Linked DNA regions of Oryzias latipes. The protein of the gene in region 2 interacts with the protein of the main gene of each other region in a biochemical or structural test. Links are inferred from orthologs where the notes say so. Each region holds a gene or a part of one and is shown on either strand. Other genes may lie near its edges.

What was found. The genes of interacting proteins can lie anywhere in the genome.
Region 1: of the proteins of ADP-ribosylation factor 1 (region 2) and arf-GAP with GTPase, ANK repeat and PH domain-containing protein 1, one has a biochemical effect on the other in vitro, tested with the Homo sapiens proteins (2 studies listed by BioGRID, with this or other methods). The link is inferred for Oryzias latipes from reciprocal best matches to the Homo sapiens genes ARF1 and AGAP1.

The regions. Positions count from the first base shown.
Region 1 is NC_019860.2:10,865,939-10,869,588, reverse strand, and holds part of arf-GAP with GTPase, ANK repeat and PH domain-containing protein 1, read right to left. Parts: intron 2,402-3,650; coding exon 2,274-2,401; intron 251-2,273; coding exon 95-250; intron 1-94. UniProt on the Homo sapiens protein: GTPase-activating protein for ARF1 and, to a lesser extent, ARF5. Directly and specifically regulates the adapter protein 3 (AP-3)-dependent trafficking of proteins in the endosomal-lysosomal system.
Region 2 is NC_019877.2:22,748,014-22,752,322, forward strand, and holds the start of ADP-ribosylation factor 1, read right to left. Parts: upstream 2,902-4,309; 5' UTR 2,770-2,901; intron 1,594-2,769; 5' UTR 1,584-1,593; coding exon 1,436-1,583; intron 438-1,435; coding exon 327-437; intron 1-326. UniProt on the Homo sapiens protein: Small GTPase involved in protein trafficking between different compartments. Modulates vesicle budding and uncoating within the Golgi complex. In its GTP-bound form, triggers the recruitment of coatomer proteins to the Golgi membrane.

The DNA.
Region 1 (3,650 bases), on a different chromosome or scaffold from region 2:
CCCAATCAGATTTTCCCCTTTTTCGGCGGCTTGCAGCCCATAAGGGGAGTTGAGAATAAGCCTTTAGGCAGACGGTCAAGTGTTGTCAATGTACCGTGAAGAGGTTGGAGCGGCGTTTGGACTGCTTCCGGACCGGCGTGGGAGTGTTGGTGGCGGGCGGGACGTCGATACGCAGCTCCTTCTGGCTGGTGCTGGGCGTGGACGGCACCGACGATGAGTAGTCACTCAAACTGCCGCCGCCGTTACTCGTCTGCGAGGAGAAAAGGGCAGAGAAAACAGAGAGCTTCAGATGAGCGTCACGATTAGGGCTGTTTGGAGGGAAAACGCTCCCCTGTTAGGGAGTCAACACACAAGCAGAAGGCCCGACTCTGCAGAGGATGTAGAGGGAAGATAAACATGGCTCCCAGGGGACGGTGAGGCTGAGCGATGGCTCTTTAATGAGGAATCGATGGAGGACTGAAGGATGAAGATGGGAGCGTGATGATAGCATCACTGCTCTTTTCTGTCACACACTAAAGCTGCAAACATACCAGTTGGGAGGCCTTCAACCCTGATTTGAGGGTGTTTATCATGTTTAGCACCTTCATGATGTCTGACATGATTGTCTTTTGTACTCCACTCTGCATAGCAGCTCAAGTGTGGTGTCATATTCTTTTAATGACATGCTCACCAGAGGTTCCATTGGTGTTAACTCAATTACATTTTCTGTGGCAAACTGGACTGTTCTGACCGGAATTCAATAGGGACTACCCATCGATTCCAAAGGTAAAAAGTAACCTAAATATACGTTTGTTTAGCTTGTTTTCAAAAACATTTTTAGATGTTTTTTATGGTACGCAGAACTGCAAGGACCAGAATGTTTCTTTCAGCTATTCTTCTTTCTCACTGCACATTTGATCTTAGAAATTCAGACACTCAGATATTGAATTTTTGGGGATAGTAAACCCACCCCCCTGCGCTACAAAAAAGGAAAAAATCTTTTATGGGGCTCAAAAATCCCCAAACCAAACCAAAACAGAGATATGTAGCTTGGACGTTATTATGGGATGACCATAGTAAGACGACCTATAGCTTGGCGACTATGTTTTGGCAAAGTGCGAACGTTTTCACATTTTTCCACAATATGGTGTAAAAAAACAAACTTGTTTGAGCAAAGTTTCACACACAAGCTGCCAGGTTAAATCTAAAACCCCAGCTGAAGTTTCGTTGACCTTTGACCTCCGAAAGAAGCTACCATCTTTGAAAAGAATAAAAATCTACCTTTAGCATCTTTGACAAATTTGGGAATTTCGATCTATCGCCTCCCGACTCTATATCATTATTGGGAAGCTACTTGGGGAGAAAATGTTGGTTTCAATGGCGTCAGCATGGAGAGTTTACAAAAGTTGTGTCGCATGTTTTTTTGGAATATTGTGAAAATTTCATACGTGACTCCTTCTCTCAACCTAGACAAACAATATGACATACAATATGATCACATTAGGAATGTGGGCGTGGTTAACAAAAAAAACCAACAATTTACTTCTGCTGATTCCTCAAAAAAACTTCCCTACTTACTACATAAGGAACTATGTACTATATACTACTATGTACTATATAGTACTATGTACTATATCAGTGCACTATATAGTGCACTACGTATACTACATATAGTGCACTATATATTGTGCACTGTATAGTGCGTTTGCCATTTTGTAGAGCTGTCTGAATCTACAAATCCAAAATCCAGTGCCCTTGAAATTTCCCAGAAGTCTCTGTGCATCGATGCTCACTAGATCGGCGAATACAGACCACAATGCATTGCGTTGGAACAATTTTTGCCCAAAAAATGTTTTAAAATGCTTTTTTTTTGGTAAACCATAAACATTTTTATCTTCAGAAGACGGTTGATTCATAAAATATCGTCGCAAAACGCTCATATCATTTAGATTTGAACTTCATGGAATCAATGACGTCATATCTGCCGTTAAAAAAAACAAAACAAAAAAAAAGTAGTGAGCATGGTGTCAGAATTCAGGGCACTACATAGTGCCACACTATATGGTTTTTTTCAGTAGTTGGGGGGTAAAGGTGGGAATTTGGACATAACCATAGATTGTGTTTTTCACCCCCAGGTGGCCACAAAAACAAAATGGTAACCATGGAGATAAAACCAACAGAAAAGCCCCCATTTTGAAATGGATAAGACATCAACTAGTTTTGATTTGTCATTTAAAAAAAAAATAAAGAACAAAAAAATTTTTTTTTTTCATAGTGAGAGTGTGACCTCTGACCTGGCTCAGTTGCACTGCTGACACTTGAGTCGTACACACAGAGGAGTGGCTGGGGGAGTTGGGGAGCGACTTGCATGGCCCGATGGATAGCTGCTGCTTCTTCCTAGTAGCCACAATCTTCTGAGCAACTGCAACACAAGCAAAAATAAAAAAATACGTGACTTTTTTCCCAAACAGTGCCACCACCAGGCTGTAGCCATCCAAATAAAAACCCCAGACCATGCTCCTGCCTCCTTTTTATTGAGCTTTAACCTTTTTTTTTTCCACCGCAGTGATTTTACAACGAGGACAAAGCTGTAAAGTGTTCTGGGTGAACTGGTTTAAAATTAGGACAGAGTTTTATCAGAGAGCCAAAATCAAAGACACATTTGCTCAAATTTGGGGGAAACCATTCAAAGTCCCAAGGATGAGCGGCGATCAGTCTGACATCTGATGATGGTTTTGTTTTCCTCCTTCATATTAGACACAGGGGAGTCCAATCAATACTTTAACAGACAATTAGGACAAATTCCATCAATCTTAACCCTGACTTATAAAAGGAGGTAGATGTACGTCGATGGACCATTAGGCTTTGAAACCTAAATTTTAAGCTGATAAAAGGAAAATTATATAACTTTATTTTTAATTATCTTGACACTGATTAGTTTAACAATCATATTTGCACTAAAATATATCAATTCTTTTGAAATAATTCAAGTGGCAACAAAAAGTGTTTTTAGCTTGGTACGGTCATTTTTTCTTGTGGTTTTTTGGGCGTTTTCCTGGTTAGAGCAGGTTGAAATCAAAGCCCAGACATTTCTCAAGAGTTTGATGTTGAAGGAGTCAGGAGAGAGTTAAGACTTTAGTGACTCCATTATCTCTGTTCCAATAAACACCGGCCCGTTTCATATTCTCCCAGATGAAGCCATTGTTTTAATTGGCCTCGTTAAAGACCCCCCAACTTCGGTAACGAGGAGCCGGTCGTAAACATTTGCCTCCGGGGCGACGCGAGGCCGGGCCAAGGGCAGTGAGAAGAGAGGGGCCGCCGCGGACGTGTTAAGAGGAGCCTCTGCGGCGCCCTTCAGAACAAAAACAGGCGATAAACGGCAAAGGCGAGCGATCAATACCGCTCCGGCGATGCTTCGTTTGTGGAAGAGTGCCAACCTCAATCAGCTGATGAAGTGTTTGATGTAATGAACTCCTGTGACAAGAATCAGTGCAACACAGAAGCTGTCGCCGCTGAACACGGCGGGCTGTATTTTAGTGTTAAGAGCAGTTATGATAAGGCCATGCTAAATATTTAAACTACATGGTTAATGCAATTTAACTTTACCCATCAATCTCAGTTCTGCTGCCATTCCATCTAATGGAAACGTCTCCCCTCTGATCAGATTTATG
Region 2 (4,309 bases):
TTAAAAACGTTTGTTTTTATATTAAAATTGACAAAATAAAAAAGAAAAGCCCTGACAGAGAAATATAGAGAGGAAAACCAGACGTGGAGGTTTGTCTCTGAAACCTAACTGTTACACCAACTGTTGATTTTCTAGGCAGGAAAAACTCAAATAGCCCTAATAGTTGCTGACGACTTTAATGTCAGGAAAAAGGAGGAGTCAAACAATAAACCCTTAGAAGAATTGAACAAAAGTATGAGTCATCGGTCCAGCAGCGTTCAGATCATCTTCAGCGCAGAAGTTAGGCCCCCTATAGGCAGTAATGCGCTCCAACAGTCGGCCCTTACCTTGAGTGTTCTGGAAGTAGTGGCGCCACAGCGGCCTGATTTTGTCCTGACCGCCCACATCCCACACCGTGAAGCTGATGTTCTTGTATTCTACCGTTTCAACGTTAAAACCTGCACAAATGAGGACAGGCTTAGTGGCAGACACGGATCTGAAAGGCTCCCCAGGTTACATTAAACAGGTCATAAATTATCATTTTAATTGGATTTCAAGTTTACCACAGAGTATCTCCATTGTTAAAAGCATTAATTGTCAATATCTTTGTTCATTACAAATTCATAAACTAAATCATTCTAAATGTCATTTTTTTCAATCTTTTAAAAATGTTCTCAGATGATAAGGCTGATAAAATACATTTTTAACTAAACGTTTAAATCAACACTAAAGCTACCAAAACGTGCAGAACAGAGATATTACAAATAAGCAGAGAAAAGCCCACGTGGAGCTGAAACGTCTCCGTTTTCATACGTTTATCTGAACTCATCCAGCTGAATGTGATCTGGGCCGATCCACAGATCGAGCTGAAAGAATTCACCAGGAAGCAACAATAACAGCCGTGAATAACTAGGATCAAAGGCAGCAAAATGCATCTCCTTGTAAAAATCTTTGGCCACAATATGTTTAGATTTTGTGGAAACGAGCTGAAAGTCAGCTCTGATGGCTGACGGTGTAAATGTTTTCTATCCAGACAGCCGGAGTATTGACTTAGACACACAATGGTTAACTCAAAAACCATGAAATACAGGTAAACAGTGATGAGTTCAGTGTCAGCTTGGAGAAACTAATTGAGAAACCAGAAGATTTGTGTTATTCAAGCACAGAATACTGCAGCAAAATGCATTGTATGCAGAAACAGAGAGGTTATGAAATTGCAATGTTTTTAGCAATCCACTGCTGTTACTGCTGTTTCTGTTGAGATCAGAACAGACTTCGTTCAACGCAATTTTTAAAAAAAATCCCGACAACAATTTTGGCGTAACCTATATATCATTAATATAACATTTTGCTTTTTGGGTTTAACAATATCTCTCTCACTAAGACAGTTTCAGGATGAACAGATCCATGCAGCGTTTTGACATGAAAAACGATCCATTGCAAACAGAAATCCTACCGATGGTGGGGATGGTGGTGACGATCTCTCCAAGCTTTAGTTTATAAAGGATAGTCGTTTTTCCAGCAGCATCCAGCCCAACCATTAGAATTCTCATCTCTTTTTTGCCAAAAAGGCCCTTGAATAAGCTTGCAAATACATTCCCCATAATGACAGAGCTGGAAAACAACAAAAGTAAATAACTACAACATTTTAGTACTCGTACAGAAATAGTAGAAGAAAACCAACACATAAATGAACATCATAACAGACAATAATAGTAGGATTGAAGCAACGCTGTCGTGTTTTAGACTCAATAACAGAAATTTAGAGATATAGAGTTAAATGTTCACTTTGGCTAAACTGTTTTACATCTGCACCATCAAAATAACTATTCAGACATATAGTTTGACCTAGAGTCCTAGTCATCTGTAGGTAATCAATGACAGTACCAGAGCATCGATGACCCTAAATATAATTTGGGAGGCATTCACGGTTTAAGGTAAATCTCCAGACTGATGTGCATAACTGCTTTCCTTAACGTGGGAGTTGTGAAGGTCTACATAAACACATCAGATGTGTTTTCATTGGGATTTTTAGTGAAAATGTCATTTATCAAAGTTTTTCGGCTATTAGGATCGAAACTCAATGTGGCCAGCATCAACAAACTAAATATTTCCCCTAACTTCTATCTCGACTTGACGTGCGAGCTCCAGGACCATAAATTGCGTGTTTTAATGGAGTCCGCAGCAAACTGGACGGACGAATACTTCGGACAGCCGGCTAACCGCACAGCTAACAGATGACTGGGGCCTTGTCAGTCAGTAAACGACTGAAGAATAGTAAAAAATAAAATAGCAGTATTTTCCTTTTACGGGCAGCAGTCATATATCAAATGTAACAGTTTGTTTTAAAGGAAATCAGAAAGTTTGTGCTGTCACCACCCATTACCAACTGATGGTTAGCTTGACTATAGGGCGGATGCTTCGACTTGAGCCTAGCCTGCTGCTAACGGCTAAAGACTGGGTTTGGTCCGTGCGAAATCATTCTGTCAACAACGAACAGGCGGTACGTATCCACGAAGTTAAAGGTTGACGTATAAATAAGCCCGTTGGTGTAATATGTGTCGTGTAAAGTGAGTATCTTTTACTCGTTTTTTTCTTGTCAGTCGATCCAGAAACCACCGTAGCTAGCTAGCTAGCCGCCGTTAGCTCGATGCCGCGTCACATTACATAGAGAACAGCATGACGTCACGCAAAACCACACCAAAATTTGATCATTTAGGTCGAGTTTGAACTCACTCTCATAAAACGGCATACAGAGTAAAAAAAGTAATTGGTTCTGGTGGTTTTTACCTTTAAAAAGACAGCTTGCTGGTCTTTAGGTTATCTTTCACTGTCACTCCAAAATGGCGTCTTGCGCAACCAGGGAGACACCGGCGTCGGGCACGGCCCACTATCAAGCCTCAGCCAATCACAGCGCGTACGGTGTACCAAATGTCCCCGCCCCCGCCCAGCTCTCCGTCCAATCAGCAGAAAGATCGTCTGTGCGTCGACGATGCACAAAATGTCGAGGAAGTTAACTCAAGTTCTTCAAGTTCCACCGCCGTCAACGTGACAGGAGGACGGTTCAGCCGCTGACAGCTGAGGGAGGGATCGAACATGCGGCACTCTCCAGCAGAGTGCACGAGAAAGGCGTACAATGATCATGACAAATAAAGGATATTGTCCTCTCTTCCTTGTTGTTAGGTTGAACAACAGGCGGGTTTTCATTGTGTTCAGTGTCTTTCTTGGGTTGAATTTCCTTTGGTGTCTTTTCTACTTGGATCCATTGTTCTTTGTTTGACTCTTTTTGTCTTTTTTATACATGTCAGTGTTGGTTTGCTTTTATTTATTAACGTTTTTTTTGTTTTTTCCTACATTCTCAGGTTCACATTAGGTTCCAGAGACACCAAAAACCTAAACCATCATTTATATGAGCTCACTTGTGTGGCAATGTACAGACACTTAATAAAATACATGGAAAAGTGTTTTCATTTTTTTATAATTCCATTTTAGAACTAAGCTTTCATAGAGTATAGATTCAGGGTCCAGGTTTAATTGTTAAGTTGTTGTTTTTTTTACATAAATTGAGGTTCCAGCTCATAAAACCCTAGAAAACAGGATTTCGCAAAATCCTGATCGAGTGGAGAAATCTGCTCAAATTCTGAATATTTCTTACAGTTTCACCATCATCTACTGAACTCAAAACACCAGTACAGGTTCCCCAAATGTCTTTAAATGGGTTCAGTTTGGTTCAATGTGGGAAAGACTTGACAACTAGAAGACCACCATAAATATCCCACCAGAGGTGGTCCGCCATGAGCAAAAGTAACAGCTGGTTATTTGGCTTGCTGAAGGTGAGTGATGAGTATTTTTTTTCTTTTAGGTATCACTGCTTCTGCCCCTCACTCTCTGCTGGATCGTTGCACTGCAAGCATTCAGTCAACTCACCTGCTCTGTCCTCTGCCTGCTCGCCTACCTGTCTGCTCGCCACTCAGCCGCGCTTCCAGCTAACCTGCCCAGCCATTCTGCTCTCAGCTCCATGCTGCTATGGCCGTTTTCTGCTCCTGTTTCCCTGCATCACCGTTCTGCCCCAAGCCTCATAAGCCCCTGCACCTCTGCAATTTTGGAACCATTTCCCAGAGACCCTCCTGGAGACCAGTTTTTTGGGTTGCAAAATCAAGAGTGCTTGTGACTGAGCCCTAGACTCCTGAGTTCCACCACGCTCCAACGAGCATCCTTCTCTTTTCTGACATCTGTGTCTGACTTCCATCCATTTGCTGTACAGAGGACTTAACTCCGCCCCCTCTCTGCTACCTGCGGCTCACACTCCTCATCCCAGTGAGCCTGCATT